Kluyveromyces lactis: one gene and its partners. The protein of the gene in region 2 interacts with the protein of the main gene of each other region in a pairwise test. Links are inferred from orthologs where the notes say so. Each region holds a gene or a part of one and is shown on either strand. Other genes may lie near its edges.

Evidence for each region.
Region 1: the proteins of STE4 (region 2) and STE5 interact in binary tests that used the Saccharomyces cerevisiae proteins (3 or more experiments, as listed by UniProt). The link is inferred for Kluyveromyces lactis from reciprocal best matches to the Saccharomyces cerevisiae genes STE4 and STE5.
Region 3: the proteins of STE4 (region 2) and STE20 interact in binary tests that used the Saccharomyces cerevisiae proteins (3 or more experiments, as listed by UniProt). The link is inferred for Kluyveromyces lactis from reciprocal best matches to the Saccharomyces cerevisiae genes STE4 and STE20.
Region 4: the proteins of STE4 (region 2) and STE50 interact in a two-hybrid assay, tested with the Saccharomyces cerevisiae proteins (2 studies listed by BioGRID). The link is inferred for Kluyveromyces lactis from reciprocal best matches to the Saccharomyces cerevisiae genes STE4 and STE50.
Region 5: the proteins of STE4 (region 2) and STE2 interact in a two-hybrid assay, tested with the Saccharomyces cerevisiae proteins (2 studies listed by BioGRID). The link is inferred for Kluyveromyces lactis from reciprocal best matches to the Saccharomyces cerevisiae genes STE4 and STE2.

What each region holds. Positions count from the first base shown.
Region 1 is NC_006042.1:1,101,473-1,108,261, reverse strand, and holds STE5 (Ste5p), read right to left. Parts: upstream 4,355-6,789; coding exon 2,114-4,354; downstream 1-2,113. Other genes in the region: SPO71 (Spo71p), read left to right, coding at 1-2,119; PDA1 (pyruvate dehydrogenase (acetyl-transferring) subunit E1 alpha), read right to left, coding at 5,595-6,789. UniProt on the Saccharomyces cerevisiae protein: Component of the pheromone signal transduction pathway. It mediates pheromone signals acting between STE20 and STE11. It is absolutely required for pheromone-induced transcription of FUS1. May play a role in cell-cycle arrest in response to pheromone.
Region 2 is NC_006040.1:583,948-589,820, reverse strand, and holds STE4 (G protein subunit beta), read right to left. Parts: upstream 3,533-5,873; coding exon 2,222-3,532; downstream 1-2,221. Other genes in the region: KLLA0_D06831g (uncharacterized protein), read left to right, coding at 109-117, 226-987; KLLA0_D06809g (uncharacterized protein), read left to right, coding at 1,546-2,112; TBF1 (Tbf1p), read right to left, coding at 4,785-5,873. UniProt on the Saccharomyces cerevisiae protein: Implicated in the a- and alpha-factor response pathway. The beta and gamma chains of the putative yeast mating response pathway G protein play a positive role in initiation of the mating response.
Region 3 is NC_006038.1:1,188,661-1,195,709, forward strand, and holds STE20 (mitogen-activated protein kinase kinase kinase kinase STE20), read left to right. Parts: upstream 1-2,931; coding exon 2,932-5,901; downstream 5,902-7,049. Other genes in the region: putative ubiquitin-protein ligase UFD4, read left to right, coding at 1-2,170; MIF2 (Mif2p), read right to left, coding at 5,986-7,049. UniProt on the Saccharomyces cerevisiae protein: MAP4K component of the MAPK pathway required for the mating pheromone response, haploid invasive growth and diploid pseudohyphal development. Links the pheromone response G-protein beta gamma subunits to downstream signaling components.
Region 4 is NC_006039.1:102,568-108,123, reverse strand, and holds STE50 (Ste50p), read right to left. Parts: upstream 2,313-5,556; coding exon 1,425-2,312; downstream 1-1,424. Other genes in the region: SDH7 (Sdh7p), read left to right, coding at 1-32; RRP7 (Rrp7p), read left to right, coding at 239-1,219; EMI1 (Emi1p), read right to left, coding at 2,707-2,967; MXR2 (peptide-methionine (R)-S-oxide reductase), read left to right, coding at 3,170-3,769; LSB5 (Lsb5p), read right to left, coding at 3,899-4,906.
Region 5 is NC_006042.1:2,331,174-2,337,244, forward strand, and holds STE2 (alpha-factor pheromone receptor STE2), read left to right. Parts: upstream 1-2,314; coding exon 2,315-3,625; downstream 3,626-6,071. Other genes in the region: MUM3 (Mum3p), read right to left, coding at 1-632; TIM18 (Tim18p), read left to right, coding at 1,091-1,672; BST1 (Bst1p), read right to left, coding at 3,781-6,071. UniProt on the Saccharomyces cerevisiae protein: Fungal class D1 G-protein-coupled receptor that acts as an alpha-factor pheromone receptor performing pheromone-dependent signal transduction involved in cellular conjugation, mating projection assembly, and in cell fusion.

The DNA of each region.
Region 1 (6,789 bases), on a different chromosome or scaffold from region 2:
GGGAAACCCGGATGCTCCAGTAAGGCTACAACTTTACACTTCAAGAAAAATTAAACCAATAGTAACAAAGGATAGAAAACCATGGCATTGCAAGATTCAGTTTGATTTAGATAAGAAATGCCTTGTTGAATTTTATAATTCTTTGGACAAAAGTATTTGCATTGTCAAACAAGATGACCTATTAACACAAGAAATGAGGTTTGCGGATAATGCAAAAACGAAAACAGCAACATCGAAGAAACAATTTTCCCCTTTGAAAATTTTCATATTCCGATGTGATAATCTATTATCATCTAGTAGGTGGTTGGTATTTTTGAGATCCAGCATTGGTCCTGCAGCACAACCTTGTGACATTGACATCCATATTCCAATAGTAAATTTATCACTAAATGTAGATCTCCCAGAAATAATAAGAAGGAAATTAGCAAAGAAGGCGGCAGAAGAGGAGGAAGTGATGAAAATATTCCAACTAGAAAATGGATACCGTGTAGCACAACTTCCAATATTAAGATATTTGAAGCTAGTTATACGTGAGACGCTTATACAACTTGGATATTTACATGAGGTTAAAAAATGGGATGCTTCCAATATACTAATGGGACTATGTTGGAAACATTACGATAGGATTGAATGGTCTTACGGCAATCAAACTGATTTGTTGTACGGAACATTTGTTTTGAGAAAATCTCACATATTTGAATATCGTAGGCTTAAAACTTACCCCAGATCCATACAGAAACCCATCGATAATCACACTGATACCGTTAAGGTCATTAATGAGCCCTCGCCAATTGAGGGTTTTTTATCTGAAAACAATATTGTTTTCAGCGATAAAAATGAATATAAACTCTCACATCCCTATTTTAAGCTTTCCTACTGGTTCACTTCAAACGGGCTCTTTTTTAGGACTAGATCCGTTAAGGCTACACCACCACTACCGGAAGATGACGTAATCGATCCATTCGGAGTAGTATTAGATAAAGCCAGGCTAGATGACTTAATTGAAACCATGCCTAGAGTGTACGAAGATAATCCATATCCATTAGATGAGAATGGTCATTTCGCTTGGTTAAACGAGAATATAACAACTGCGGAATTTGAAAGTCACGACGCAAGAGCTAGTAGATCATTCCTGAGAAAAATATCACTAATACTCAAAGCGGATAATTGCATTGACTTGACTCGTTGTACAGATATCAAGCTTTTAGATGCATCGGGCTTCAATATTAAGACCATGAAAATATGGAATGAAGCAAATAATATGGTATGGAAGAATAGTCAAACACTTGAAGCAACGAAGTCTTCTATTATAGAGTTAGTAATTGGTAAAAATGTCAGTAAACTACTCATGGCGCCTGATCCGGAGACATGTCAAGAGTGGTTATCACGACTACGTGAAATAGCCTTCTACTGGAAGCGAAGACTAGCTGCTGATCGACAGCTTCTCTGGGATTTGAAAATAAAGAATCTCAACACCTTCAATATAACTGAACTTCAGGAAAAGCACATATCTGCATTTGTTCCGAAATGGATGACAGAATTATCAACAACAAACGATCATATTTACAACGTCAGCGCTCATGCTTTGTCGCGTCCTATAATACACCAAGGATTAATTTATCATAAATCCAGAAAACATTCAGTATTCAACAAGCATTTCATGGTGTTGATTCCTGGGTTTATAATGTTGTACCACTGTTTCGATAGATCCATAAGGGGCTACGCGAAAGATTCGACAAAGTATAGACATTTTTTAACGATTCCGATAGAGAAATGCTATCTATATTCAGGTGCCCTCAGTGAACAGGAACTCTTGGACCGAGACAAAGACTTTAACTCTATTAATCCAGGTTCTCATAGTCTCTCAAGAGTGTATGCTGACGGATGGAAAAGCATGGATGAAGAGAGTAGTAGGACTTTTGTTATGTGGTTTCCAAACAAAAGGATAATGTTAAGTTCAGTAATAACACCAGAAACTCCGGACTCTTCAAAATTTCACGTTGTTGATAAACTTGGAGTCTCGGGAAAATCGATGATTTTTATGTGTCGATCCAGGCAAGAGAGAGATTTGTGGATGGTAAAAATATATGATGAATTAGAGAGAGTGAAAATGTTATAAATAGTCGTACATATGATTTGATTGCCGGTCTTCAATAGATTCACTAATACCATTCATAGATCCTGTCAAGTCAGCCTGTACGTGATTTTCCCAGGATATAGGTGATGAAAGCCGGAATGTTCTATTCTTATCTGGAACTGAATCCACTTCAAAATCACTAGAGGAGGTACTGACACAGTCACTACTATCTAAATCATCATCAAAGCTCAAATTAAAACTATAGGCAACAGCTTCAAGCAATTCGTTCCAGTCCTGAATTTCAACGAGTTCTTTGATATTATCACTATAATCTACATTCAGAAAGCCTACTTTTATTTTTAATTCATTTGGATGCCGTTTGCCTGCATCAGCGAATATTCGATAATCGCTAAAAAGACATGATTTACCATTCTCCATGGATGAGTTTGATAAAACAACAACCCCAACATTTTTGCATATTTTCTGTTTTTGCCGATACCATAATTGGTGTAAAAGATCTGGAGAGAATGGTTGATTACCATTACTTTTTATCGGACCAGCCAACGAATTGAGAACATCGTTAGCAGTTCCGCAATTGATGACCATTCCTTCAACATCAACAATACAGCAGTTAAAAGTAGAAAACTTCCAAGTCAAAGCTAAAATGACGTTCTTGATCGAGACGATATTATCTTCATTAGTCTTTCTTTTATCTAATTGCAACACCAAATTTAATTCATTTGGTGTTGCTCTTTTGATGGACAAAATGGATGATATTGAGGTTAACACGGATGAATCTCGAATTGTTTTAGGGATAAGGGTTTCATTTAAGGTACTCTGTCGTCTGACAATGATTGTACCTGTATCATTGGTGCTAGGAATGCAAGCCACAAATTCGGGAACCTTGATCGAAGTGAAATCATAATTTCCGAACGGCAAAGTAAGATCAAATAGAGCTGTTATCCATTTTTCTAAAGCTTTTGTATCCAACCCATAAGGTTTAATAAGAATTCTTTCCCCAGAACGAGATTTTGATTCAAGAGTAGTTGCATCTAATAAATCTAGTTCAGGAGGATTATTCAATTGGAAACAACGGTAGCTCGAGAATTGAAGAACATTTGCCGAAGTAGCAGGAGATGGTCGACATACTAGTAAATATTCCGAAAATAGGTAGCAAACCTGGTGTTGGAAATTTATGCCATCTAATGATATCAAAAAATTATCTATCAATCGTAAGAGTCCATATTTAGCATCAATTTCCCAAGGCTTGACTTCGCTAAAACTATTCAAAAACGCTTGAATGAAATACTGCCTTTGAACGTGCAAAGAAGGCAGTTGACAGTCATCTTTCGAGGAAGATGATACGATGGACGACAAGCCAGAAACCGTACTTCCTCTGAAGTTGGATCTTCTTTTTATACTGCGACTCCTATGCAAACGGATGGAATCTCGAAGAGATGGAGTAACCGTTTTCCCTGGTTTCAAAGAAAATGCAAAAGATAACCTGATATCGTTATTTCTTGCAGTTGTTCTAGTAGTCTGCAAATGTGGAAACGTTTCATCATTACCTGAGTGCTTGGGTAAGAGGTCTGCATCGCACAATTTTATCCGCTCGTAGTTTTCTTGAGGATTATACGGTTCGAGTCCAACACTTTCACCGTCATCAGGTAAGGTTAACAAGTGTGACCTTACCTTCTGTCGCATATCTTCCTGTCCCGGTATGCATGACATACTACAGATGTCGCATTTCGGCAAGGCATCATACAGGTTTGATTTATGAGGAAGAGGTCGTAAACTCACCATTAAACAATCTTCATGACACATATGGTTACACTCCAAAGGGATTACCTTCTCATTAGAACCCTTGAACGAACAAAGATCTCCGCATATGCAACATCTCTCATTTTTCCAAGACTTATTACCATTTTTTCGAGTGGGCTTCTTTCCTAAGGTCTCATGTCCAATGGGAGAGAGCATTATGGGTGGAGGCGGCATGATCGGATCTACCAGGAGGTGCTTAGGATGCTGTTTTGACACTGGTCTTATGGGAGAACTATCATAGAAGGAAGATATCATGGATGATGCAGTCGATGGAGTACCAACTGAAGGCGTCTTCACTCTCTTCTTAGAAAAAAGCTCTGTCCATCTTCTTGGCGATGAGGTATTGGACCCTGAAGTGGATCCTGTATCCAGTTTAGGCACCGGGGAGGATCCCACATTAGTCAATTGAAATAAGATATCCTGAGAATTCATTGATGATGTATTACCTCTAGACATTTCTAGCAAAGTAATAGTTAATATGCTCTAGTCAGCCGTAGTGTTACTCTTAAATTCCTTAAAGTTTGAAGACTTTTGGATGTATTCTTAATACTTTGAACAATAATTGTTCAGTTATTCAATTGATAGATTAGCACATAAGTAACGATATCATGGTAGCTACTTTGGAGAATTCACTAAAAGAATCTCAAATCTCCCGGAATCTGCAATCACTATATTTTCCCCTTTCATCATGATGCCATTTTGAGGTTGTTTCAGATTTAAACATCAACGGTCTTAAGTAATGAATAATTTTCTTCCCTTAAATGAAAACAGAGATAGTGATGAAATCAGGACAAAGTGTACATTTTAGGAAGTCGATGAGTAGGGTCCTGCAGTGACTCTGGAACCAGGGTGACAAAACTGTCTCTAGTATATCTATGATACTTTAATTCAGTAAATACAATTTATATATAGACTAGATGTAAGTCTAGTAAATAGAGATGAGATGATTATTGGGGTAAGTCGTCGTGAGATCAGTCATTAGAAAGGTGAGTAGATGATTCAATGATGGACAAGGTATTGTAACTTTTCATCTGTCTAATATGCGGCTTCGCATTTGACGACATTGTATCGTAGCAACCAAAAAGGGGAGAGACAATTTATGGTGAAGAACAATGTCAGATTAGTTTACAAAACCTAGTTCACAATAAATCATGTTTATAACAGGCGCAAGATCAACGTAAGAAAAGAAGATTGTAGCACGAATTATTGAGGTAGTTTTTGGGAGTAATGAGAAAATTCTGTATCGTTGTTTTGTTTGGGAAGAAATTAAAACGCAGGTAATCCGTAATGGCAGGCATCAGTAACCAGATAATGTTCTCGGCATTGAGAATAAGCATCAACGAAGTCTCATGGAGAGAGAGAGAATGAGAAGTCACAGATGAACATTCATGTTTTAAAACCGAAAAAAACAGTTATCTGAATAGAAACCATACCGTGAATGAAATGAATAAAAAACACTTGTATCTAAAAGGTGTTTTTTTATGATTTTGGTACTTTAATATTGATTGGTGGAAAATAGCAGATGCACTATACAAATAGTATCATCTTGTGAACCTTATAGCATAATATTGTGAAAGGGCAGTTTATAGGAATATAGTTGTCTTTCGAAAAGGGAAGAGTAGAGAGATGGGAATAAAAAAAAGGATAAACGCAAAGAAGTTAACTTTAACGTTCAATTACCTAATTCGTTCTTGCTCTAATCTCTGAAAGCAAAGCTCTTCTTAGCAAAATCCCAAGTATCTTCTTGCAATCTACCTCTTAGGGTTGGAGTTTCAGAACCTGGAACGTAGACATCCTCGAACAAGATGGACATCTTAGCTTCTGGAGCTGGGGCAGCATCAGCTAATTCGACTTGCTCATCGACGTACTTTCTAGCAGCCTTGTCGTAAGCCTTAATTTCATCTTCCGTGGCGATACCCAATTCCAATAAGTGCATCTTTAAACCTGCAATTGGATCGTTCTTAGATCTCATGTGTTGGATTTCATCTCTGGTTCTGTAAGTAGTACCTGGATCAGACATAGAGTGACCACCATATCTGTAAGTTTCGTATTCAAGAACGATTGGACCGTTACCGGAGACAGTCCAGTCCTTAGCGAACTTGGAAGCTTGGTAAACAGCCAAGATATCCATACCGTTAACCTTCAAACCAGGAATGTATTGACCACGCTTGAAGTATTCAGTCATGGCTGAAGATCTTGCGGCAGCGGTACCCATACCGTACTTGTTGTTTTCACAACAGAAGACGGCTGGTAAGTTCCATAACTTGGCCATGTTGAAGGATTCGAAAACTTGACCTTGGTTAGAGGCACCATCACCGTACAAGGCAAAAGAACAAGCATCTTCGTGTTTGTATTGATGAGCGAAGGCCAAACCAGCACCCAATGGGACTTGGGCACCAACGATACCATTACCACCGTAGAAACCAGGGGCGTACAAGTGCATGGAACCACCCTTACCGAAGGACACACCAGTTCTTCTACCCATCAATTCAGCCAACACAGCTTGAACAGCAGCACCTCTCATGTAGGTGAAACCATGACATCTGTAAGAGGTGATGACGGTATCACGCTTAGTGATAGCGTTTTCAATACCAACGGCAATGGCTTCTTGACCGACAGAGGAGTGACAGAAACCTCTAATTTTCTTAGCCTTGTACAAAGCGTCACAGGCCATTTCCATTCTTCTAACGATAATCATATCCTTGTACATTTGTAGCAAATTGGACTTGGTGGTTTGATAACTTAATTCAGGAACATCCAAAAGATAACCTTCAAAAGAGGTTTCTGGCAAATCAATTTGAACTAGGTCATCATCACCTGGCTTAGTTTCATCAGCAACCTGGGACAAAGCACGGACGTTTTTAGAAAAGTTTCTAACCAATCTCAAAGAG
Region 2 (5,873 bases):
ATTGACTAAATTTCAAATTCAGAGATAAATAATGGCAATTACAAGTACGAAAATATCCAGAAGAGAAACATTAGACGTGCTTATAACCCCCAATCAAATCAACCAACGATGGTGTCGGTATGTAATGATTAAAAAAGACTGAAAAGCTTCTTCAGTTCGTTTTTAGAAGGTTTCTTTTCACAATGAGTTTACTAACAGACCTTTTATTCAATATTTCGGAAACAGACTGTGAAGAGAACGGTCAGAATTAAGACCAAGCAATCTGTCCTACCGGATGTACCACCTCCAGTAGAAAACTTTCCTATGCGTCAATGGACCATTGAATTAGTTCTTTTGGATGAACAAGGAAACGAAATTCCAGCCACGATATTTGATAAGGTAGTGTATCATTTGCATCCAACTTTTGCAAACCCTCATAGAACATTCACGGAACCTCCTTTTAGAATTGAAGAACAAGGCTGGGGTGGCTTTGAATTGTTGATAAGTGCGCATCTTCTTGAGAAAGGGGGCGAGAAGAAGATAACTCACGACCTACATTTCATGAAAGATGCCTATGAAATTGATCATGTAATCCAAGTTCCTACCAATAAGCCTCTTCTAAGAGCAGAACTAGAGAAAAGTGGACCTGTCGATGAAGTAGCATCAACAGCAGCAGCAACTCCAAATGCAACAGCGACAGCTGCCACCACTCCAGGTGACAAGAGAAAAGCATCTACTGTCAATGGTGATGTAAAAACGAAAAAAGCCAAGACCGCCTCCGCTTCAACAGTGAAAGGCTCTGTGAACTTGGAAAAGTTAGCATTTGGCTTAACAAAACTAAACGAGGATACATTGGTTGGAGTAGTACAAATGATAACTGATAACAAAACTCCAGAAATGAATATTACGAACAATATCGAAGAAGGTGAGTTCGTTATTGATTTATATAGCTTGCCTGAAAGTCTATTGAAGAGTTTATGGGAATACGTCAAGAAAAACACCGAGTAACCGGACCTCTCACATGTTTATCTAATTTAACCATTACAATTATGTAGTTGTATTTTATAACTTACATCTCCACTAACAGGCACTGCTTGCAGAAAAAGTACCAAATGAACACTATAATGAATAGACAAATCAAGCCTAGGGAAAATTGCACTGAAATATTTGATTGAATTCGCCCTTGGACTTGACTTTAATTATTGTCGACCTCCTACCGATGAGCTTATCTCTGAAAAAAATAATAGTTTGAATCAAATTCTACATGATAGCATATCACAATACTCCATTATGTTTTACTATTGTTGTAGCACAACGGTCCGCAAGCCGTCGATAGAAAACTGTATTGGCATCAAGTCAACACTTAACATAATGGAAAAAGATTTTGTAATGGTATGTTTTAATCTAATATTGCCATAACGTTTGTCACTAGCAGCATTGTCACTAACAAGTGGTTGTTTACAAACATATCAGCCTTACGTTCCTCGAACAATAAGAGTCAAAACTCAACAAATTATTTTACCAGATGCTCCTAAAGTCTACGAACTGCCGACAAGGAAATGGAGAATGCAATTATTTATATTAGATGAAGAAGGAAACGAGCAACCGGCCACCTTATTTGATTATGTTACCTATCACCTTCATCCCACATTTGAACGACCACTACGAAAACTCACGGAACCTCCCTTCACCCTAGATGAGCAAGGTTGGGGTGAGTTTGAGCTAAAGATAATAGCAAAGGTCAAATTTTGCTCGACAACTTACACTTTTCATCACGAACTATCCTTCGATAATAATGCGTACAATGTTGATTATGAGGGAAGGTTTCCCTACCATCAAACCAAACTGCGGGAAGAGTTATTAAATTCTGGCAGTGTACCAATTTACAATGAAGATGAAATAAGTTTGGGTCAAGTTACAAACTTACAAAGGGCTATTAATCTTATATCGGTATCTGATGTTGATACTATTCAAAAGGTAATTAATACAATTGTTACATTTCCTCCGGTATCTGAAGAAATTGCTAAGAGACGTCATCAAGAGGATGACATTGTAATATTATTGTCTCAAATTCCGAACCAGCTGCTCAATAAAATTTGCAGGTTGGTGGAGGCTTCCTCAGCTGCATCTTAAAGTTTCACTTACTGCGATGAACAAGAGCCAAACTGAGCGGTTTCAGTAGTATTATAAGGGCTATTTTGCGGCTTTTTTCGATATGCATTACCATTCTCAGTTCATCATTTCACTGATGAACCGGTGTCCAAACTTTTAGGGTCATATCCCATGAGCTAGACACTACTGCCATTCCATCAGGGCTCGTCTTGACGGCATTTATTCTGTTTCGATGACCATCAACTTTGCCAATCATTTCTCCTTTGATAATATCCCATACTGCACACCCGTAATCCGCATAACAAGCGTACATCAATCTACCAGAAGAGCTGAAATCTATTGATATGACTCCTTGATCTTCGATACAACTTTCCTTGAAATTCAAAGATTGAGGTGTTTTTACAATTGGATAAGACGAAGTTGAAGAAGAGGATGAGCCATACCGATTTTTTTGAATACGAGAATAAGCATGAGAATGAGGATGAGGATGATGTTGTTGTTGAAGCTGGTGCTGCTGAAGTAAACCGTCTGAAAATGAGTACGTCGATATCTGACAATCACTTCTTAAGTCAAATAACCTAGCGCTACCATCATCTGAACCCGCCATGAAGGATTCTCCATTGTTGAAAAATTTGATGGCACTAACATCACTATCACTGATGAAAAAACTTTGGGCTGAATTCGGCTGTCTAACATCCCATAGATACGCATACCCGTCCGATCCTCCGGTGATGAAATTATGACCATATCGACCAGTGTTTGCTGGTGGTAAATCCATGGTCAAGACATCGCCTAAGTGATCTATAAATTCCGTAACTCTTTTACTTTTAGGAATATCCCACATAGCGCATGTCATATCACCACTTGCAGTCAAAATAGTCCTCTCATCAAGAAACTCCGTAGCTGAAATGTAGCAGGTATGGCCCTTGAAGATGGAAATCACATTCTGTTGTATTCTATTATCTCTTGAAACACGATACACTGAACAATGATTGTCCAAACCCGCACTTGCAACCAGATTTCCGCTGGGACTGATAGCGCTACTCAAGACCCATTGGGATAACAAGGGGATAGCGCTTTTTTTAAGCCCAGTGAAGGGATCCCATATGATTATAAACCCGTCTTGGCTCGAGCTGAGTACGCTTGCCGAATCCTGGCTCCATTTTACGTCTGAGATTTTATTATTATGTCCTTTCAAAGTTCGAACCGGTTGTAAGTTTAACTCGTGTAATGAATTGACGCCGTGAGACAAGTTCATCAATTGAGTGTCTTGAATTTTGCCTTTAATTCTGTTGATTTGGTCGTATAACTGCTTGCACTCCGTCTTTGCTGTCCTTATTTTGTCCTCCACTGTACCAGCTGAATTCATATTGGGATAATGGTAATCGTGCACAATCAGTTCCTGTGGACGAATTGCATATTCTGCTGAATCGACTTCCATCTTGGATGCTGTTTGCAACTAGACACTGTAATAAGGAAAGGAAGGGGGTTGAAATGAAATGAGTAAGTATCGAACTTTGCAAACTTCAATCAATGATCACCAGCATTAGAATCTGCGATTCGATTAAGAGGCACTCTGAAACAGATTTCGTCCTTTCTGCTGATTTCCTCTCCAGGACCTTCATATATATATATATCCCTAATTTACTCACAACAAACTAATTTACTACAAATATGAACAAGGCAATGTACCAAAAATGCCCATTAACGCCGCGAAAGGAAACGACCATATTTCTTCCATCATGTATATATATATCATGCATAAAAGTCATGTCATTTTTGCAAACAACATTAAACCTCCGAACCAAAGCTGTACAGGCAATCTTTCTCTGCTATTTCACTTGTTTAACAGATTGTCAACTTCGATGTATATGCTGTACTGCTGTTAAATCCTAATGAACCAATGCCTTATTTAGTTCGCTATGTAACTCAATTGCTAATTGCAGCTCAAACTTCCAGTCATGGATTTAGACACTCCAAATAAAAGCAAAAGTAATATAAAAGATATCAATGCACATATTCAAGCGTGCTTTCCTTAGCGTCTCGTTCTACAGCATGAGGAATTGTATCCTCAAAAGGGCCAGTGTCGAAGCTCCCCAGTGAAACAGCGTTGTATATTTCACATGATGCCTAGAAAAGCCTCTCTTAAACAAGACAGATCTTACCAAGTTTTTGTGAAATGACAACCTCAAAAACTGTCGCTCTTTGCAAGACGATCTCCACGCTAGGTGAAAAAATAAAATAAAGGAAGCCTACGCGAACACTCAATACAGACGCAGACTATCACATAGCTCTCACACCTTACTTAGATACATTTACTATGGCGTTATGGCATTTACTGCGTTCAGTTTTCGGTGACAGGGGAAAAGGTCTCCGGTACCAGGAACGGTTAATGATGTGTGGCTTGTAGCAACCAAAAAAAACCACTGTTCTAGAGTCCTAACTTCGAATGCAACATGTAGTCGAATTTGCTATCATGATGCAATGATACTATGATATACCTAATGTTCCCACATGAAAGAGCTTGCTGGCCACAAACCAAAAAAATGTAAAGATTAGGGAATCGAATAGATCCTGTTGTGAAAAACTGCTGCATAAGGTTATTCAAGGACGAGATGATACTATGACTATGCATTCAATGATAACTACGAGTTTATATATGCTAAATTGGTCCCGCTTTCCCGACGCTCACATCAGACCGCTGGTTTGGGCTTGGATTTGGGTTTCTTCTTGCTTTTCAGACCTCTTTCTAAATCACCTGTCACCTTCTCCAAGTACTCTGGAACTGGTTTCATATTTTTTAAGTAGTGCATTTTCCAATTTCTTGCCTTGTCCTTCAGTTGAACTTGGGACCTGTTCTTTAAAGATTCCGACACCGTTCCTCCAGGACCGTACAGAGATAATATTTTGGCCCATGCAGGTCCGCACTGTTTCAAACCGGATTTCAAACAATCTTCTTCCTCTTGTGTCCACATCTTTTTTTGCTTAGGTTTTGTCTTGAAGGGCTTAACGGGTAAGTCTATTCTTCTTTGAGGTTCATTGGTCCTTAGCACTGTACTCTTAACATCTACCTCAGCTTCAGTAGTATTGATAGTATTGGGCAACTCTTCAACTAGATCGCTTTCCCCCTCTTCAACTGGAAGTGTTTCGCTCTGTACCGGAGCTGGTATTGTTTCTACAGGTGTTGGTGTACGAGATGGAACAGAACTCAATCCCTTGCCTCTTCTACCATAGAGCAAGACATCTGCCCGCTTAATCCCGTAAGAAAACACTTCTTTACAACATTCCTCCCAATCGTATTTCTTCATCAATTTTTGTAAGTCTGGGCATTCGAGAATGGCAGTCTTACGTCGCTTGCATCTTTCTTTAAAATCTGTTTCAGTGCATTGTATTTGCAATTGCATATATTTGCCAGCATATTTTATAGTCTTATCCTTGATATCATCCAGGATAGTGTCGGGGAAAACTTGATCCAATAGTGGTGATTTGCTGGTGTGTGGAGTCGAAGATGAAACCAACGCACTGATGTAGTACTGTGTCATCAAATCAAGGTATAAAACCGTCTGCGGTTTTAATAGTCTTCCATAAACTATTCTGGACCTGTTGGCAGTGATAAGGTCTTCCACTTTTGAACTGTCAACGTTAAAACAGAAGACCTCAATGAAGTTGTCAGCTAAGAAGCTGATACCAAAGGGCAACTCTTTCAAAAGAGTCAACAAAAACAAACATATGTTAACCTTTCGAAGAACTAAAAGGATGTACCTCTCGTGTGTCTGTATAAA
Region 3 (7,049 bases), on a different chromosome or scaffold from region 2:
ATCCTCATTATTTGATGATATGTCCAACATATCTGGCTTCGAGCTCATTTCCACTGGTCTCATTGATTCTATGGCTAATATCTTTGAAACTGATTCAACGAAACAATCATTCTCCAAGAGGACTTTTCTGAAAGTGTTCGAGGAAAAATTGCCTGAATTTGTGAAGCTACTACAAAATGCATTGTCTAGGACGGAAACCTTTGCCATCCTAGATGCTGGTGCCAGTAGCAACGATTCTCCAAGTGCCTCGTTAATCAAACAGATGAAAATAAGATTAGTTCATGAGCCGGCCGATGATGAAGTGGGAAAAGATACTGTTCCAGAAACTCTTCAAGATGTTGTAATTGCCGTGCATTGCGTTGCATCTTTGAAAACACTTGATGAATTCTTGAAACACAAGATTGTGCAATCGGAATTTTTGACTTCTATCATTCCGAGCATGAGTCGTGCTAATCAACAAGCCAACCCTACAAATGTTGCCAAAGAACTTGAAAACATACAATTTGACTTTTCGTTGAATGACCATCTTTTAGATCAATCGTCAACTATTTACTCTATTATATTCAAAGAGGCGATGAAAGAAGGGTTACCCACAACGAGTATCTGGACTAACGTACCTACTTTTAAGTTCAAGAAATCAGTAAAAAGAAGGGAGTCACATCAATTGCATGTGCTTTACCCCGATACAGCTTTTGAAGGGGCGGATTTGAAGCCTGTCAATGGTATTTTGACAGTTCTACAATGTTGCCAACATAAATCACTCCCAGCATCTATTTATGTGAATCCAAAGATTAGTGCTAAGCTTTCCCGTCAACTTGAAGAGCCACTTATTGTGGCATGTGGGGTCTTACCAAGTTGGGTCCTCGATATCACGAGAAAATATGGATTTTTGTTTCCATTTGAAACTAGAATGAACTTCTTACAGAATACATCATATGGATATGGCAGATTGATCCAATACTGGAGGGAAAAGCTGGCAGATCAGCACCATAGTAACCCTACTGAAAATCCATTGCATCAATTAGGCAGGTTGACTAGACACAAGTTGAGGGTTTCAAGAGACTCACTATTTTTGTCCGGCATCAAAATTCTAAAAAAGTATGGTTCTTCGCCAAACGTATTGGAGATCGAATACAAAGATGAAGAAGGTACAGGGTTAGGACCCACTCTCGAATTTTACTCTTTGATGTCGAAAGAATTTGCAAGGAAGTCTCTAAAAATGTGGAAGACCAATAGTGATACCAGTGATGATGAGGAGGAGTATGTGACAGGTGCATTGTTCCCTGGACCATTATTGGGCACCACCGAGGAGAATAACGAAAAGACTTTGAAATTATTCGAAAACTTGGGGACCTTAGTCGCTAGGTCAATGTTAGATAATAGGATTCTCGATTTTAGATTTAACGCTGTTTTCTTCGAGTTGATGCACAAATGCTGCAAGAATGATCGACTTGACCTAGAAGACTTCGAAACTTGTATCCACCTCGTAGGACAGTTTGATGTTCAACTAGGAAAATCACTCGCATTTTTGTATGATAATCGTCATGATGACTCTATCAAAAACCTTGACCTATATTTCATGCTGCCTGGTTATGATATAGAATTGTTGGAAGGTGGTTCGAAAATCTTAGTTGAATCTTTCAACGTGGAAGAGTACTTGATTCGTGTCTTTGACCAATTTTTGGGCAAAGGCGTAGATATGCAGCTCGCTGCCTTCAGGAACGGATTTTCGAAATCATTCCCTTATTCATCATTGCTAATCTTAACTCCGACAGAACTATCCGATTTGTTTGGTGCAGTTGCTGAAGATTGGTCTGTGCAAACGCTATACTCATCCATTCATGCAGACCATGGCTACTCGATGGATTCTCCAATCATAACAGACCTCATAGATATTTTGTCGAATTTTTCGACACAACAGAAACGTTTGTTCTTACAATTCATCACTGGCTCTCCGAAACTACCTCTTGGCGGTTTCAAAAACTTAAAACCCAAATTCACAGTAGTCCTGAAGCACCCAGATGGGAACATCTCGGCAGACCATTGCCTACCTAGCGTTATGACATGCGCCAATTACTTGAAACTACCAAAATACTCTGATAAACTGGTACTCAAAGATCGTATTGCACAAGCAATGACTGAAGGTTCCGGAGCCTTCCTATTGTCATAGAATATGTATATAACTACATAGAGATGTCTGTAGATCTAACCATACTCCACCCTAACTAAAGATTTCAATACCACATACTTTCGTGACATGTGACAGGATTTACTCTTTGGGATTGGCGAAAATGTTGAAACTGAAATTTAAAGCTTAAGAGTTTAAACAAACGGAATGTAAAGATCAGATGGTATGCATGTTTATAAGCAGATTAGAGAAACGAGCAAGCTCAATTGTTGCTTTAACTGTGGCTTGTGTTAGAACTAGGTTTTAAATTTTATTAATCAGGCTATCTCTGCCGATTTGACAAGTATTTCAGAGAGTAATACCAGGTAATACCATCTTCTTTTGGATCTTTTTAATAACAAGCACACATTATTTGTTTGTTTTGGCGAGAGTGTGATTTTAGCAATCAAAAGACGTTCGTTACACTGAATTACACAACAGGCTCTCGTTTTTAAGTTAGAAGGAGGTGAAGGTAGAAAGAATTTTACAGAGCACGTTTTGTCATTTCTTTCATTGTTTATCTGACTTGATCTTCTATTCTTTGAACAAAGTAATCTAGCTTTTTTTCTGACAGAAATTAACACGGCCACAGCAGGCTTTGTTACTGACGGTTGTATGCTCTAGAAATCATTACAGACCTGTTTGTGTTTTTCGGAATACCTTTCCTTTTTGTTCGGTCGATAGAATTAACCACAAGACATCTTTTGACACAGGCCTTTTTTTTTTGATAGAAGCTACTACACTCACTACTTTGTCTCCATATAATGACGGATACTGGATATACTGAAGAATTGTTACCAGGCACATTTGATGCGCTTTCCGTGAGAGAAAATGGTGGCAATACAGAAAGTGACACCAGTAGCATACGCAAAAGTCAAAATCAAGATTCAAAACAAGAGGATGTACATCGTGAAAATCTTTCAGTACAAACTCTAGAGGATCATACAGAAGTAACGGAGACTAGGGAACAATCTGTCTCAAAAGATCTCTTTGATTTACCTCGTGCACCAGCGAGTTTGGATGTGAAAGGATTACAAGAATCAGACGAAGATCATTACGTCAAAGACCTTTCAGATTATAAATCTATGGATCCAGGGAAACCGGGCACCGTACCAACAAATGTTTCGGAAATTTTTAATAGTAACCAGCCAACTTTGGATGAACCGATACAATTTACAAGAGTCTCTTCCAGTTCTGTGTTAAGTGAAAGTATATCGGAAGGTGATGCAGATTTAATATCGCATCTAGAAGGAAAAGTGGAAGAAGGAAATAATTTGACTTCGAAGGAGACGCCAGGGACAATTGAATCTATTGTTGGAGATAAGACGATGTCAACTATAGAAGGTTCCTCCCAAAATATAGGTAGAATATCTACTGGCGGGAGGATGACACCTGATCTCTCTCTTATGGGCGGGGCCCTGGAAACTTCTTCTGACTTCCTAAATTCCACACAAACCTCAAATTCTCCAAAGATTACAACACCTATAACTGAAGTTGATGCCAATGATGTATATGAGTCCCCGCTAAATGAGATATTATCATCTACAGATAGTTTCAACAAGGCATCGACAGCGTCTGCAGATCATTCGAAACACGTAAGTGTGCATGAAGTAATACCTGAAGAAGAACCACATCCAGAAACAACAAATGAGGATCCTCCAATTAAAACTCCCGTAATGGTGAATAACTTTTTCGAAAATCAAACACCAGTATCAGAATCAAGATCCCCCTTCAGAACCATTTCTTCTCCGTTTTCTTCTCTGAGGAAAAACGTTAAGAGTCAGCATGGGACGCCTGACCACTCCCAGAGGAATTCTAATTCCTCCACCTCCTCTAATGATGTTAAGAGGAAGACCGGTACTAAGAAGAAAGGTGTTTTCTCAACATTCGTTCAAAACATCAAGAGGAACTCACACTCAGAGAAAAGAATTTCTAGCGGAAGCGGTAATGGAAGTGGAAATAATGCATTTAAGATCTCTACTCCTTATAATGCTAAGCATGTTTATCATGTAGGTGTTGACTCCAAAACAGGGGAATATACAGGGTTACCAAATGAATGGGAGAAACTTTTAACTTCCAGTGGCATTAGTATGAAAGAACAACAGCAACATCCCCAGGCTGTGATGGATATTGTAAAATTCTACCAAGATGTTACTGAAAACTCTGGAGAAGAGAAAGTCTTCAAGACTTTCAAAGTAGGAGGTGGCTCTGGTGCAAACATTGCATCTACACCTTCTTTCAGAACCCCATCAACTGCATCAGTACAGAAGTTCGAAACTCCGCAAATGCAAACAGATGCAACTTTTCCGAATGAAAACAATGATACCCCATACTCTAGTAACTTACAGGGTCCGCTGCTCACTAACGATTTCAGTGAAACTGTGAACAACGAAAAGTTCATACCGACTCGGCCTGCTCCAAAACCTCAAGGTTCCTCCACAGTTAGCCGTAGGGTCGAAATCCCTTCACCAATCAATTCGCTTGGCCATGGAACACCAAAAGTGCAAAGAAGTGATACTCAGTCATCAAGCATTTTCTCATTCAAGAAGATGCCAACATTGAAAAGTGAGCAACCATTACCTCCTATTCCAAAGGCTGCAGAAAAACCAGCAAATTTATTGCCTGCAAGAGCGGCTCCTACTCCACCAAAACCTGCAATTCCTACAACACCGGAACAATCCTCAATACCTGCAATTCCTTCCGGGCTTGCTGTGGAAGTGAAAGAGGAATCGAATACTTCTAATGTCCAGACAAGAAAGGCCCAGGAAAAAAAGAGGGAAGAGAGGAAAAGAAAGAATCAACAAATTCAATCAAAATTAACCGAGATTTGCACAACAGGAGACCCAAGCAAACTGTACAAGAATCTGATCAAAATCGGACAAGGTGCATCAGGAGGAGTTTACACAGCGTATGAATTGGGCACAAATGCTTCAGTAGCAATAAAACAGATGAATTTGGAGAAACAACCCAAGAAAGAGTTAATTGTGAATGAAATTCTGGTCATGAAAGGAAGCAAACACAACAACATTGTTAATTTCATTGATTCATACCTATTTAGAGGTGATTTATGGGTTGTCATGGAATACATGGAAGGTGGTTCGTTGACTGATGTCGTTACGCACTGTATATTGACTGAAGGGCAAATCGGTGCCGTCTCTAGAGAAACACTCAAGGGTTTACAGTTTTTGCATTCAAAGGGAGTCATTCATAGAGATATTAAATCAGACAATATTTTGCTATCCATGAACGGAGACATCAAACTAACAGATTTCGGTTTTTGTGCTCAGATTAACGAGGTAAATTTGAAGAGAACGACGATGGTTGGTACTCCGTACTGGATGGCCCCAGAAGTCGTATCAAGAAAAGAATATGGACCAAAGGTTGATATTTGGTCTCTTGGTATTATGATCATTGAAATGATAGAAGGTGAACCACCATATCTGAATGAGACACCACTAAGAGCTCTATATTTGATCGCTACCAATGGTACGCCAAAGCTAAAGGATCCTGGAAATTTAAGTCATAAAATGGCTATGTTCTTAAATTGGTGTTTAATGGTTGATCCAGAGGACAGAGGAACCGCAGCAGATCTTCTTGAAGATCCATTTATCACTGAAATTGCGGAAGAGAACACCTCCCTTGCACCGTTGGTTAAACTGGCAAGGATGAAGAAACTAGCAGAAAGTATGGAAGATGATGAAAACGATGAAGACAAATACGATGAACAATCATAATCATTTCTGTTTTACGGCATTACATGAATTTAAAACTTTATTTTTTCTATATAGAATAGTTGTGTTATTAATATTTCATTCACATTAGGTAGATGTGAGACTCATATCGCTCGAAGATTTATTAGAAGACATCTCCGAATCTTCAAAAATGTCATCTGCACCATTAAAATCTTCAGGGACGGTTGTTTGAACGAAGAAAAGTTGCGCTTCTGTCATTCCTTTATTGAGAAAACCGTAAGTGTTGAACGCCGGTACTTGAAAAGAAGAACCCGTTGTACACACAAACTTGTTATCACCCACAGATATTTCAACAACACCTTTAACAACGAAAAAATTGATAAAAGCGTTATGTGAATCACTAGGGGTCTTTTCTCCATCGAGCGGAAGCTTAAGCATACCGCTGGCAAACCTTTCTTTGTGTTTATCGAATAAAATCGATAAAGTAAATTTATCCTGGTTTGTGCTTGTAACCTGTTCAGTTTGTGCTAACCCAGGAGCAAAAGCCAATATATTCTGTTCTTTCTTCTCATCAGCTGTAACATTGACCTTTGATTGAAGAATACCTTGTTTCAGCCATTCAGCATTTGGATAAGTTCCTTGCTGAATATCTTGAATAATTGGAGCGTTTGGATCGGTAATGTTCTGATCATCCACAGGCTTAATTTTCCGTGGTCGACCTCTAGGTTTACCGGACGGAATGTAGTTATACGGTCTTGTCTTGGTTTTCATTACCTGCTTTTTAGCACGTTTACTTTTCAGTAGTTGCTCCTCTTCTTCATCCTGATCATGATCATACGTGATAATTTTTTCAATCTCAAGGACAGGCTTCTCTGATTTTCTCTTGTACACGATCTTTTCATTTCTCCAGTACTCAAGCGGTGCAACTTTGACTCTATTCGATCTACGAATTCCGCCTTCCGTACTTGGACTTTCGTCTTTCAATAAATCTTTAGCTTGTGTCTGAATGTAATCTTCGTCGGAATCATACACGTCAGATGCAGATTCAATATCTCTTTTCTGTTTTCGTACGTCGCTCAATACAGCATCATCTTCTTCTGAATCGTAATCTGAGCTATCTTCTGAGCTATCCGAGCTAGCATCACGAAATCCTGATATTCCTTCCACGTAATCTCTATCTTCTTCCTCTT
Region 4 (5,556 bases), on a different chromosome or scaffold from region 2:
AAGCTGAACAGCTGAAATCAGGTGGTGAATGATCTTCGGAAGGTTGTAAGACAGACATTTCCCAAATATTATATCTTTCCTCCAAATTCTCTCAAGTAGTGGGTGAGGAGAAGGGTTTATATACTCAACTTTTTGTTGCACGTGACTTCAAAAGACTTTCGTCTTATATTGAAAATTTTCTTCTCGACACTATTTAGTAGTTGTGTAATGAAAACTATGATTTAAAGTTAGTAAAGTGATGAGAAGAGATGAGCTGAAGAAATTCGCTTCAACAACTTTCAACGAATTTGTTTGGGTTATACACCGATCAAGATACCTCTCCACACACTTTCAATACGAAAGAATGGTTCTTGAACAGATGCAAAATGGCTTCCTAATTGTGCCGTTTTTACTACCTCAAGTAAAGAGTTTAAACCAGAAACCGACGAAAGTATATCATTATATGTTTGTGAGAAAGCATCAATCAAAACTGGAAAATGAACAACACTGCTTATTCCTAGTTAATCTACCTCTTTTAACACAACTCGAAAACTTGAAGAAAAATTTCCAAGAGATCTGTCATCAGAATGAAACCGTTTCGCATGTGCAAGATCTACTCTATCATGATGAGTTCGGATTACATGATGTTGACTTATCATCATTGACTTCTCATTTAATGAGTGTTGATGAACCTAGTGAGAAAAGATTTACGCCAAGAAATACTGCATTACTACAGTTTGTGGATAAGCAGTCCGTAGAAAACTGTTGGGAAGCACTAAGGAAATACTCTTCTAGCAAGAAGCAACAACAGATACTGTGGGAATTTCAATCCCCATCAATCGAGACATTCACAGCATTCTACCGTCCATTACCGTTAAAATATTTGAAAACGGATATACATGAACATATGGCTCTTTTCGAACAAAGAGAACAGCAAGCTCAAGAAGAAGTACAATCATCTATTGTTGATGAAGATGGTTTCACATTAGTAGTAGGAAAGAATACAAAATCATTAAACAGCATAAGGAAAAAGATATTCAACAGAAATCCATTATTAAAGCATGAGAAACCTAAGAAGATGCCTAATATGGTTGACAAGAAGGCAAAGAAGGACTTCTATAGATTCCAAGTCCGTGAAAGAAAGAAGCAGGAAATTAATGAGTTGCTAGCCAAATTCAAGCAAGATCAAGAAAAGATAAAGGAGATGAAGTCCAAAAGAAGGTTCAACCCGTACACATAATTATTTGAGAAAACTTTCCTGATAAGGTGCTCTATTTGTTATTTACTATAGTTGAGAATGTGTCTTTGTACAACATACGTAACTCTTATAGAAAGAGATAATTAATCTATCAATACAATTATTCGTTCATGAAAGCTCTAAAATGAAAGTTTATGGTTGCTTGCCAAGTGTTTTTTCCAGTTGATGAAGGAGGAGATAACAAACATTATAGCCTACCTCCCGGTGTTGCTGCCATTTCTCCCACTTCCTCAAAGTCACCTTTTTGTCTTAACATAATTGCAGGATGCAGGCCTTGTTGTTTTAAAGACTTGAAGATCTGTACTGGTTTTTCATCGAGATCAAGAACTCGTTCTTGATCTCCATAGCATATCACTAAAACATGCTGTCTCCAATCCGTTTCATTCAAATTGTGCCTCTTCATCGCATTTCTTAAAACCTTTTCACATGAATCCTCCTTTGAGGCACGTAATTGTTTCATAGGTTCTGAACTTGGAGCTGATGATACTCCAGCTCCGCCTGGAGTATTCGCCGATCCGGGTGTGGTGGCAATATGTGACGATGAAACATTTCTGGTGCTTGAAGATTGTGGTGGCAGCCCTGGATTGGAATTCGATCTGTATTTGGGTGATGATGGCGTGTGTGAAGAATGGTGTGGAGCTCTATCGAAGTAATCTTGCGAAGAAGGTTGATGTTGAAGTTGTTGAGAAGACTGAGAGGAACCTGAACCAGATCCACTGTTCCTCTTCACGATTTCCAACAAATCCAATCTGAGTTGCGCATAATTAGATTGGAATTCTTGTAACTTTTCATTTAACGTCTGGTGTAAGCCTTTCATAGTCAACACTAATTCTTGTTCCGGTGCTTGTTCTTCCGTGTCAACAAATTTGTTTATGCATGTCTTAAGCCTCACGGCACTAATGCTATCAGGACATAACTCCTTGCAATCGGCAAGTGTGATTTCAGATAACGTAGATCCAGTTATCTTGTTCTCTCGTATTCTATCTAGGATGAATGTATCTCCGTCCGTTAATCCAAGTTCTGCTTTGACTTTCTTGCAAACCTCCTCAGTTGACCATTCATTTGTACCGCTCATTATTTGTTTTTGTTTCTATGCCTGTTCTTAAGAGATGTAAAAACACAATTGAATCACTGGTTAGCCACTGATCAATATGCTTCTGTTGGCTCAATGATATGCTCCACAGACTGAGCTGTTCCCCGGATCTCCTTTCATCAACTTTCTGGTATCACTTGGTTTTATTCAAATAATCGATTAAGTTTAAATATAGATTTTCCCATATTGTCGGAAATCATAAAGAAATGACAAGGAACCCTGCGAATATTCTGACATAAGATTCCTGGGGAACGGGGTAATCCTGTTACTACATTCGCGCTAGAAGTATTTCGATGCAATCGTAACTTTGATTCATTTATTTACAGGACATACGTGTGGAAAATATACAACTATCTATCATTCCAACGGCCATGGTTTATACTCTTTCTTTCCAAATGTCATCGGAGGTACCTTTCCTTTCTTGGTTCTTCTGCCACTGCTCTTTGTGCCATTCCTGTACCTTCACGGGATCTTTACTATGGATCACACAAAACTTAAATTTCTCGAATTCTTTCAGACATTCGTTCATGTGGCCATGTCTGTAGTAATTTCTAAACTGACCTCCTAAACTGAAACATCCTGTTAACTGATCAAATGCATCAGTGCAAGACATTGTTGTTGGATAATTAGATGACATAGTGTTGAATATCGTTTACAGTCTATGATATTTTCTATTTGGTAAGTAGCTGTGGTAATGGTCAAAACTGGGCGGACTGGTTTGCTGCTTCCGTAATCAACCTCCTTCTTTCGTTTTGTAGATTGCTCTTTATTGACAAAGATGTTTAAGCTGTAAATTATAGAATTTTGGATTTTTTCAACTAGCTTTCTGCAAGAAGCCGATGAGCCATGCTATCGTAAAGAGAAAACAACTGGAAACTCGCATTTGTAATCACCATCGGATCTATTGTTCAGCTTTCATTATTTTGTTGATAGGTATAATTCTTAAAGTTTTACCACTCCATAATTGTTTCACACTTTTGATGCTCTCAAGAAGTTGTTCAAGGATTTTATCTTTAAACTTATCAAAGCAATTTTACAGAACAATGAATAGCACCGGTAAATGGAATCCGAGTTTGACTTCAGAACAGCTAAGAGTACTACGTGATAAGGGTACGGAGAGACCAAACACAGGAAATTACTTGCACAACAAACAAACAGGGATTTACTCATGTGCAAATTGCGATTTGCCTATTTATAAGAGTGAGACGAAGTTCGACTCAGGCTGCGGATGGCCTGCGTTTTATGATGCTATACCGGGATCTTTAACTTTTACTCGCGATGAATCGTTTGGGATGGTTCGTATAGAAATATGCTGCAGTAGATGCGGTGGTCATATGGGGCATGTGTTCGAAGGGGAGGGATGGCAGAAAATCTTGAATTTGCCAACTGACCAAAGACATTGTGTCAACAGTTGCAGTTTGAACTTCAAGGAAGGTTAGTGCTCACCAGATTAGGCAAATAGTTGTAGGTTTGCAATTATTTAGCTCACTTAGTTATATTAGGTGTACAATATTACACAATTAAAACAGATGGCTCTACGGTTTTTTACGCTCCGCCAGGAGATCGCATCAATTCTTAATTTTATTGTTATCGCTAAATGGATCATTGGGCTGAGCGGCTCCACCTCTAGATGTGTACGAAGGTATTGATGCCTCATCAGAAATGTAAGCTTCGTTGTCCTCTTGATCATCTTCATCACTGTCACGTTCATTCAAAGAAGCCATGTCTCCTTCTTCGGCTAATTGGTCAAATGCCATCAATGCATTGACCAACTCCTCGTTAGCATGGAGTAAAGCACCTAAAAGTTCACCACCGGTAATCAGTTGCAAATAACGTAGAACCTTCCTTCTCAATGCTCTTGCTTGAACGAATTTGGCCGTACACAGCTCACTGTCGGTGGACTTACTATGAGCTGGAATTGCCAACAAAGCATTCGATAGAGACACTGCGGTTTCTAAGGAGTCGCTAATCAATAGTTTAATCTTAGGAGCTTCCTTCTCAAGGTCAATTCTTGGAATCCCATACCGTTCATCAGCGGTGACAGCTCTTCGATCGGCAGTGTCACTTAAAAATTGAGGTAATGCTTTCTTTTTCTTCTGATAAGATTTGTTCATGACCTTGGTATGTCTTTTCTTGTTTTTGTAAGCCTTTTCACAAACAGTAAATAGCATTTCAAAACCTTCAACCTCCTGGTGACTTGCCAAATATTGATACCACCCTATTAGATAACATGTACATTTTCTTGAAATTTGTTTTGGGTATTTCCCTGAATTAGAAGACATATCCAGAAGAACGTTAATCAATCTGAAATCGGAATAGAACAATGGTAAATGGATGAGCTGGGAAACAAATAAGTTTAATAGATCCAATGCCCTTGATTGTTGGTACAGGTCACCATGCTTTAATCGTTTTCTAATCGCCCTAGCTGCTTCTACTTGATTGGTGTCGGTGTCACCAGTTCGAATCAACTGCAGTATGTTTCCTAATTCAACTTCTAACGTTGCATTTTCTGATATAACGGCCTTATTGATGGATTCCGTAACCGAAGTATATGGATGATCAGTGAAAAACCCCATTAGTGTATATCAGATGACGTGCAAGCTAATTTTTATTTTCTACTGCAACACTATTGGTCTAACTGCCCACTAGGTTAAGTGATCCGTTGGTATCCTTTCTTTGAGTAGTTGAAACTGGTGGAATGCACTAAGTTGTTGTTCGAGATTCCTCTCTCGTTATGATGTGATTTGATAACGATAATTTGAAATAGGGGAAAATCAGTTCAGGCCCATAGTCCTAGTAACGAACATTAATCTTGAACTTTTCATTATTTCCTTCCTTTAAAAAAAAAAATGCGAAAAACATGCACAAGATGTGCGTACAACTTATGTACCAATGACGGAACGCTACGAGTACTCGAGAGACAAACATACAGACTACACTATATATATGAGATCGTACTGTTAATTCAAGATTTTTTACAGTGAAAGCAGCGACATATCATTTCAGGACAGAAACTCCGCTTTAATTGCTTTGTATGTAACTGTTCATTCAGTAGCTATCATGTTGGAACTAGTCATAATGCATGACCGGATAATACCAATGTAATAGGCGTTTAATAATAGTTTTGTATCACTGACACATAACAAAGTATACAAACCAGTACTCAGATCTAATCTACTAGTTATTAGGAATTGGGTCTAGAGACACCAGGTACATCTAATTCTAC
Region 5 (6,071 bases), on a different chromosome or scaffold from region 2:
AGAACGTTATGCAAAACAGGTAATCCTTTGTATTTCAATTTCATTAACTTTCTTTCAATCAATTTAACTTCTGGTGTGAAGATATTCACCTCGGGAAATATTACCAAATTCTCAGGCCCATAAAACTTCTTAATCTTTGATACCGAAACGTTGTCATTCTCATCATGCCTGAATATTGTCCAAAAATGCTTAAAACTGGGATACTTCATTAAACGAGTCCAACCTGCGAAAATTACATTTTCAGCTCCGAACTGGGATTGAATCAAAGTATAATCGATAATTGATCTATGGTTGCTTAGTATTAGTTGGTTCTTACATTTTGTGTTGATTGTTTCCCCCTCGTAAATAATTTGGATATCTTCTCTTAGCACACTCCATATAATGAATTCATTAATCCATATATTAACCATGGTTTGAATCTTCTCAGTTTTCATAATACCCCTGTAATAATACTTTGATGAAATGATTCTGGACCATTGATTCATATACCATATCCACCCTGCTAGCACTGACTGAAGTATGAAAAGTATAAACAAAAACCATGAATAGGCCACACATTTTATAAGATGCTTGTCTTGTATCGAAAACCATGGTCCCGTGACATTTGTTTGCAACGTACTCAGTACAGACATGGTTTACTAGTTCTTCATCCTAACAGAAAACGATTGTAATGGATCGTTTTCTAGCTAGTTAGGAACAGTTTCTGTGTTTATTCCACACTGACACAGACTTTTTAACCATTTTGTTTTGTCGCATGACAAACAGTTTCAAGTGAAAAATAGGAAAACGTAAACAGTACGACCATCGTTTAGTTTACATTAGAAAAACTTGTCACCGATACATTGTAATTAGAATGTAAATTTTACGATTGAATTAATTCATAGAGCCTCTAACAGAAACCACTACCGCTATAACTGCCTTTCTGGTTATTCTGCATCTTCTGTATTCTTTTCAGATCTCATCAATTTTGCTCCAATCTCATTATCGATGATGAAGTGAAAAATGAAATATTTTTTGACTAAGCTCATCTCATCACTTCGCATACATCGAAAAGTACCTGAAAAGTAAGGATGGCAGCCAAGACGACATAATGATTGCCAGATCAATGATAAACAAGCCACTTCCAGTCATGTTAAGAACTTCTTTGCTTCATCGTCAGTTGAGAGGTATCAGGCTACCAGCTGTTTTTAGTTCCAGTAAGTTTGCGAAGTACAAGTTAATCCCACCACCTCCAGGCGGAGTTACCGGAAACGTAAACGATAACTTACCAAAGACAGAACCGAATTGGTTCCATGGGTCGTATCACTGGGATTATGAACGTATCACTGCAGTGTCGTTAGTTCCTTTGACAATGGTTCCTTTGTATGGAGCTATGTCTTCTGCTACCTTTGCATCAGGTTTCCCCTTCCCAGTGATTGATTCTCTATTGGCCAGTACAATACTAATACATGCGTACTTAGGTATAACAAGTTGCATTATTGACTATATCCCTAAGAGAAAATTCGGATTCTGGCACAAGGCTGCTAAATTCGCTTTGGCACTTGGAAGCTCCTTCAGTCTTTACGGAATTTATGTTTTAGAAACGGAAAATAACGGACTAATAGATTTGGTCTCTACTCTTTGGGATAAAGATAAGGGGGATTCGAGAGCATATGTATTTGGAAGGTTTTAGTGTGGTACTCTGTCCAAGCAATATGTAATTCATCGGAGAATTGACCTCCAAGCAGATTAGACTCTCATTTATTTATTATCATTATTATTTATTAGTGCTACATCTAGTGTTATTTATTCTTACCATAGTCTTAATTTAGTCTTTGAGTCTGATGATTCAGCTGGTCCTTTTCCTCGCCAAAAGTTCAAACGGGGTAAAGCAATCTAACTTTGAATAGACCATTTTGGGTATTTTGCTGTTCGTTTTTTTGCCCATGATTACATGCGTTTAAAGTTGTTGATCCAATCTCATTGTAACTGCCTTTTTTGGCAATCACATAGATTACAGCCGGTTTGACACAATTTAATGAAATAAAATCCTGAATGCAAAAGACTTTGCATTCGTCTCTGCTGAAGAAAAACCGCCTCAAGTTGAGGAGATTACTAAATGTGCTTTGGGTTTGAAACTTATTGAGGTTTTTTTTTTTTCATTCCTTCATGAAACTTATTCATGTCAAGAGAACATACTTCAAAAGTGACTATATAAAGGCACCTCTCTGTGATACAAGGTGAGATTGAGAGACTCAATGTTGATTTGACATCCTTCAAATTTTTACGTCAAAGTACCCTTAATGTTTTGACAATAAGCATTAACTTATTTAACATGTCAGAAGAGATACCCAGTTTGAACCCATTGTTCTACAATGAGACATATAATCCATTGCAGTCCGTCCTAACATACAGTTCAATTTACGGAGATGGGACTGAAATAACATTTCAACAGCTACAAAATCTTGTCCATGAAAACATCACCCAAGCAATTATTTTTGGAACAAGGATCGGCGCTGCTGGATTAGCGTTGATTATAATGTGGATGGTCTCTAAGAATAGAAAGACGCCGATATTCATAATAAATCAGAGTTCTTTGGTTCTTACAATTGTTCAATCTGCTTTATATCTATCATATTTGTTGAGCAATTTTGGAGGAGTTCCCTTTGCTCTAACTTTGTTCCCACAGATGATAGGCGACCGTGACAAACATCTTTACGGTGCCGTGACTCTAATTCAATGTCTATTGGTTGCGTGTATTGAGGTCTCGTTAGTCTTTCAGGTAAGAGTCATTTTCAAAGCAGATAGATATAGGAAGATAGGAATCATTTTGACTGGCGTCTCCGCTAGTTTTGGTGCTGCAACTGTAGCCATGTGGATGATTACTGCAATAAAATCTATTATTGTAGTGTATGATAGTCCATTGAACAAAGTTGACACATATTATTACAACATAGCAGTTATTTTACTTGCATGTTCAATAAATTTCATCACTCTTCTTCTATCAGTGAAACTTTTCCTGGCTTTCAGAGCTAGGAGACATTTAGGTTTGAAACAATTTGACTCATTTCACATTCTACTCATCATGTCTACTCAGACATTAATAGGTCCATCGGTTTTGTATATTCTCGCCTACGCGCTGAACAATAAAGGAGTTAAGTCGTTGACTTCTATTGCTACATTGCTTGTAGTTCTTTCCCTACCTTTGACATCTATCTGGGCTGCTGCTGCAAATGATGCACCAAGTGCCAGTACTTTCTATCGCCAATTCAACCCTTACTCTGCACAAAATCGTGATGATTCATCATCCTACTCTTATGGTAAAGCCTTTAGTGACAAATACTCTTTCAGTAACTCACCACAAACTTCGGATGGTTGTAGTTCAAAGGAACTTGAACTATCTACACAGTTGGAGATGGATTTAGAGTCTGGCGAATCTTTTATGGATAGAGCAAAAAGGTCCGATTTTGTTTCTTCTCCAGGATCAACAGATGCAACAGTGATTAAACAATTGAAAGCTTCCAACATCTATACCTCAGAAACAGATGCTGATGAAGAGGCAAGGGCATTTTGGGTGAATGCAATTCATGAAAACAAAGATGACGGTTTAATGCAATCGAAAACCGTATTCAAAGAATTAAGATAAACACTGTGTCTCTGGTTTCTAGTTTTTTACGTTCTGTTGAGCTCTATCATACCAATCATATATTTTAGTAAGGTATACATATAGCAGCTCATAGTATCTGCTGGTTCTTTAATTTCATTTAATTATACTTTAGAATTACTCTTTATCGATTAGTTTCATAATATTGTTAGGAAGAATAAGACCCCATTAAGGATATTGGAAATGTGGTAGACCCAGTATAAATTTCTTATGCCGTACATGAAAGAATAAAAGGATAAATATCCTAGAATTGAGACAACGATCAGCCAGTTCATTCTGTTCTTGATTATAGGAATATTGCACTGACTATTTCTTAATGTTAGAAGCAATGTTGGTGCTATGGCTAAGAAATTATGATGCGATCTGAAGGCCGTCTCCCACCTAATCGCAAAATTACGCAAGAAGACGACAACTATTGGAGCATTGATTGGTATCATGAATATTGTTAGCATTAAGAATGACACGTTATAGTTGTGTATATTGGAATATTTTGCGTTGTTCCTGTTTGTAAAGACTGCCAGCTTCATGCAGTTCCACATTTGAATTAAGCTTACAAGGATGAATGCGAACTGATATGGGACATAGACCATGACTCCCAAAGAAATAAAACATACTCCCAGTAATTGCCTGTTATTAAAAAGTAGTTTATGATGTGTCATATCGTTAAGAGGATCAGGAAATGTGATACGCGTATATCTTGTGATTGCTGAGGAAATTTTAATAACTGCAAATTCGATGACATTTATGAGTCTCAAAATAATGAATAATAATGCGACAGAGATTATGAAAAAGACTGGTCCAATCCACCACACAAATGTTTCACGTAGACCCAGCATATAGTTATTGTTCAACATATGAGAATCGCTACTTGGTTTGCTCAAAGAAATAGGGTCTAAGTAATGCAGCAAGGTCAATATGGCCTTATGATTGATTGCTATCGGTCCTACTGATAAAAAGAGGAATATTAATAGACTATGATTATTCAAAACATTCATCAAACCAGTATCAAAGCTGATGAATTTACTATCAGGGCTGTCATAGTAGTAAAACTGGTAGCATAAGACTAAAGCAATTATCGATATTGGAATTGATGCAAAAGCTAATCTGAATCTGATATAAAGCATCTTCAATGTTAGTTTCCAGTTTATGGATAGTCTTAAAGAAATTTCCTCTCCAGGTGGGATGAAGAACATCAAATTTAATGACTTGTCTATGGTATCATCAAGTGGTATGAAGGGAGATATATTGTGCATATTGATTTCATGAGAACTTGAGGCAGCCAATAAATGCCATTTGGTTTCATATGGATTATTAACATACTGTCTCATCATCGGTCTGAACATGCTATCTATTTCGTCAGAGAAAGTTGTTTTCAAATTGAAGGAGATTAGCGAGGACCATAAATTTGGGAATGCTAGGCCATGGACAAAAGAATGTTTATTTTTTAAGGACATTCTAAAAGGGAATAAAGATAGTTTCCACAATCCGTCGCTTGCAGTTTCAATGCTCTTATCATCGCTATACTTTGCTAGAACAAAGTCTTCCTTCTTTTTCATTGAGCCCTGGAAAACTATTATTTGGAAACCCTGCAATAGAGAGCCATTTAATGAGATAAAGCGAAAAGGAGACACCGATTCTCCCCATGACGAGTCAGTTGGGAATTTTTGTAGACTTGTGGAGTGAGGAACTTTGGAAAAGCTTGAAAATCCGTTAATACAATCCTTTCCATATATGTCTTTACAAAAGAAAATATCGAATTGGACGAGTGATGTGAGCATTTCGAAGCTATAGTCGACAGACTTAGAAATATTGAAGGCATATCCTGTGGACATTGATTCAGAAGAGTTTAAGACAAGTAAATGATTCTCAGGGACACTTTCTGTGTCGCTGAAATCTACGGCTGGGGCGCTTAAGTTTTTATCGATCAATTTATCTGCATCAGTAATTCTTTCAAGTCCACTCAAGAAAAACTTTCTTCCTTTGCGCATTCTAATATCTAAAGTCGCGGTTTTTCCTCCTGCATCATCATTGACAATTTCGAGAATATATTTTGCCAAAAGATATCTCAACTGATCACACCACACTATTGCCAAATGGTCAATTGGGGTCCATAGCTCCGGTATTGTAGTAGTGAATGTAGTGAAGCCATTTGATTCAGGAACAATACCTTGGAGATTTGTATAATCGGCAGGCAATATGTCATCCAAAATACCACCTGTTATGGAGATCACAGAAACATTGTTTCGAAAATAACTGCCCATATCATTCATGGCTGAGGTCCAGTATGAGTTTACCCTGTCATAAAGTTTTAGAATATCACCATCAAAAGTGACGGGGGCTGTTGAATGAGGGGACGACAACGTCAGGATGGTATTTACAGACTCTGGTATGTGATTCGGTAGTGTAAGCATTAATCTTGCCACTATTC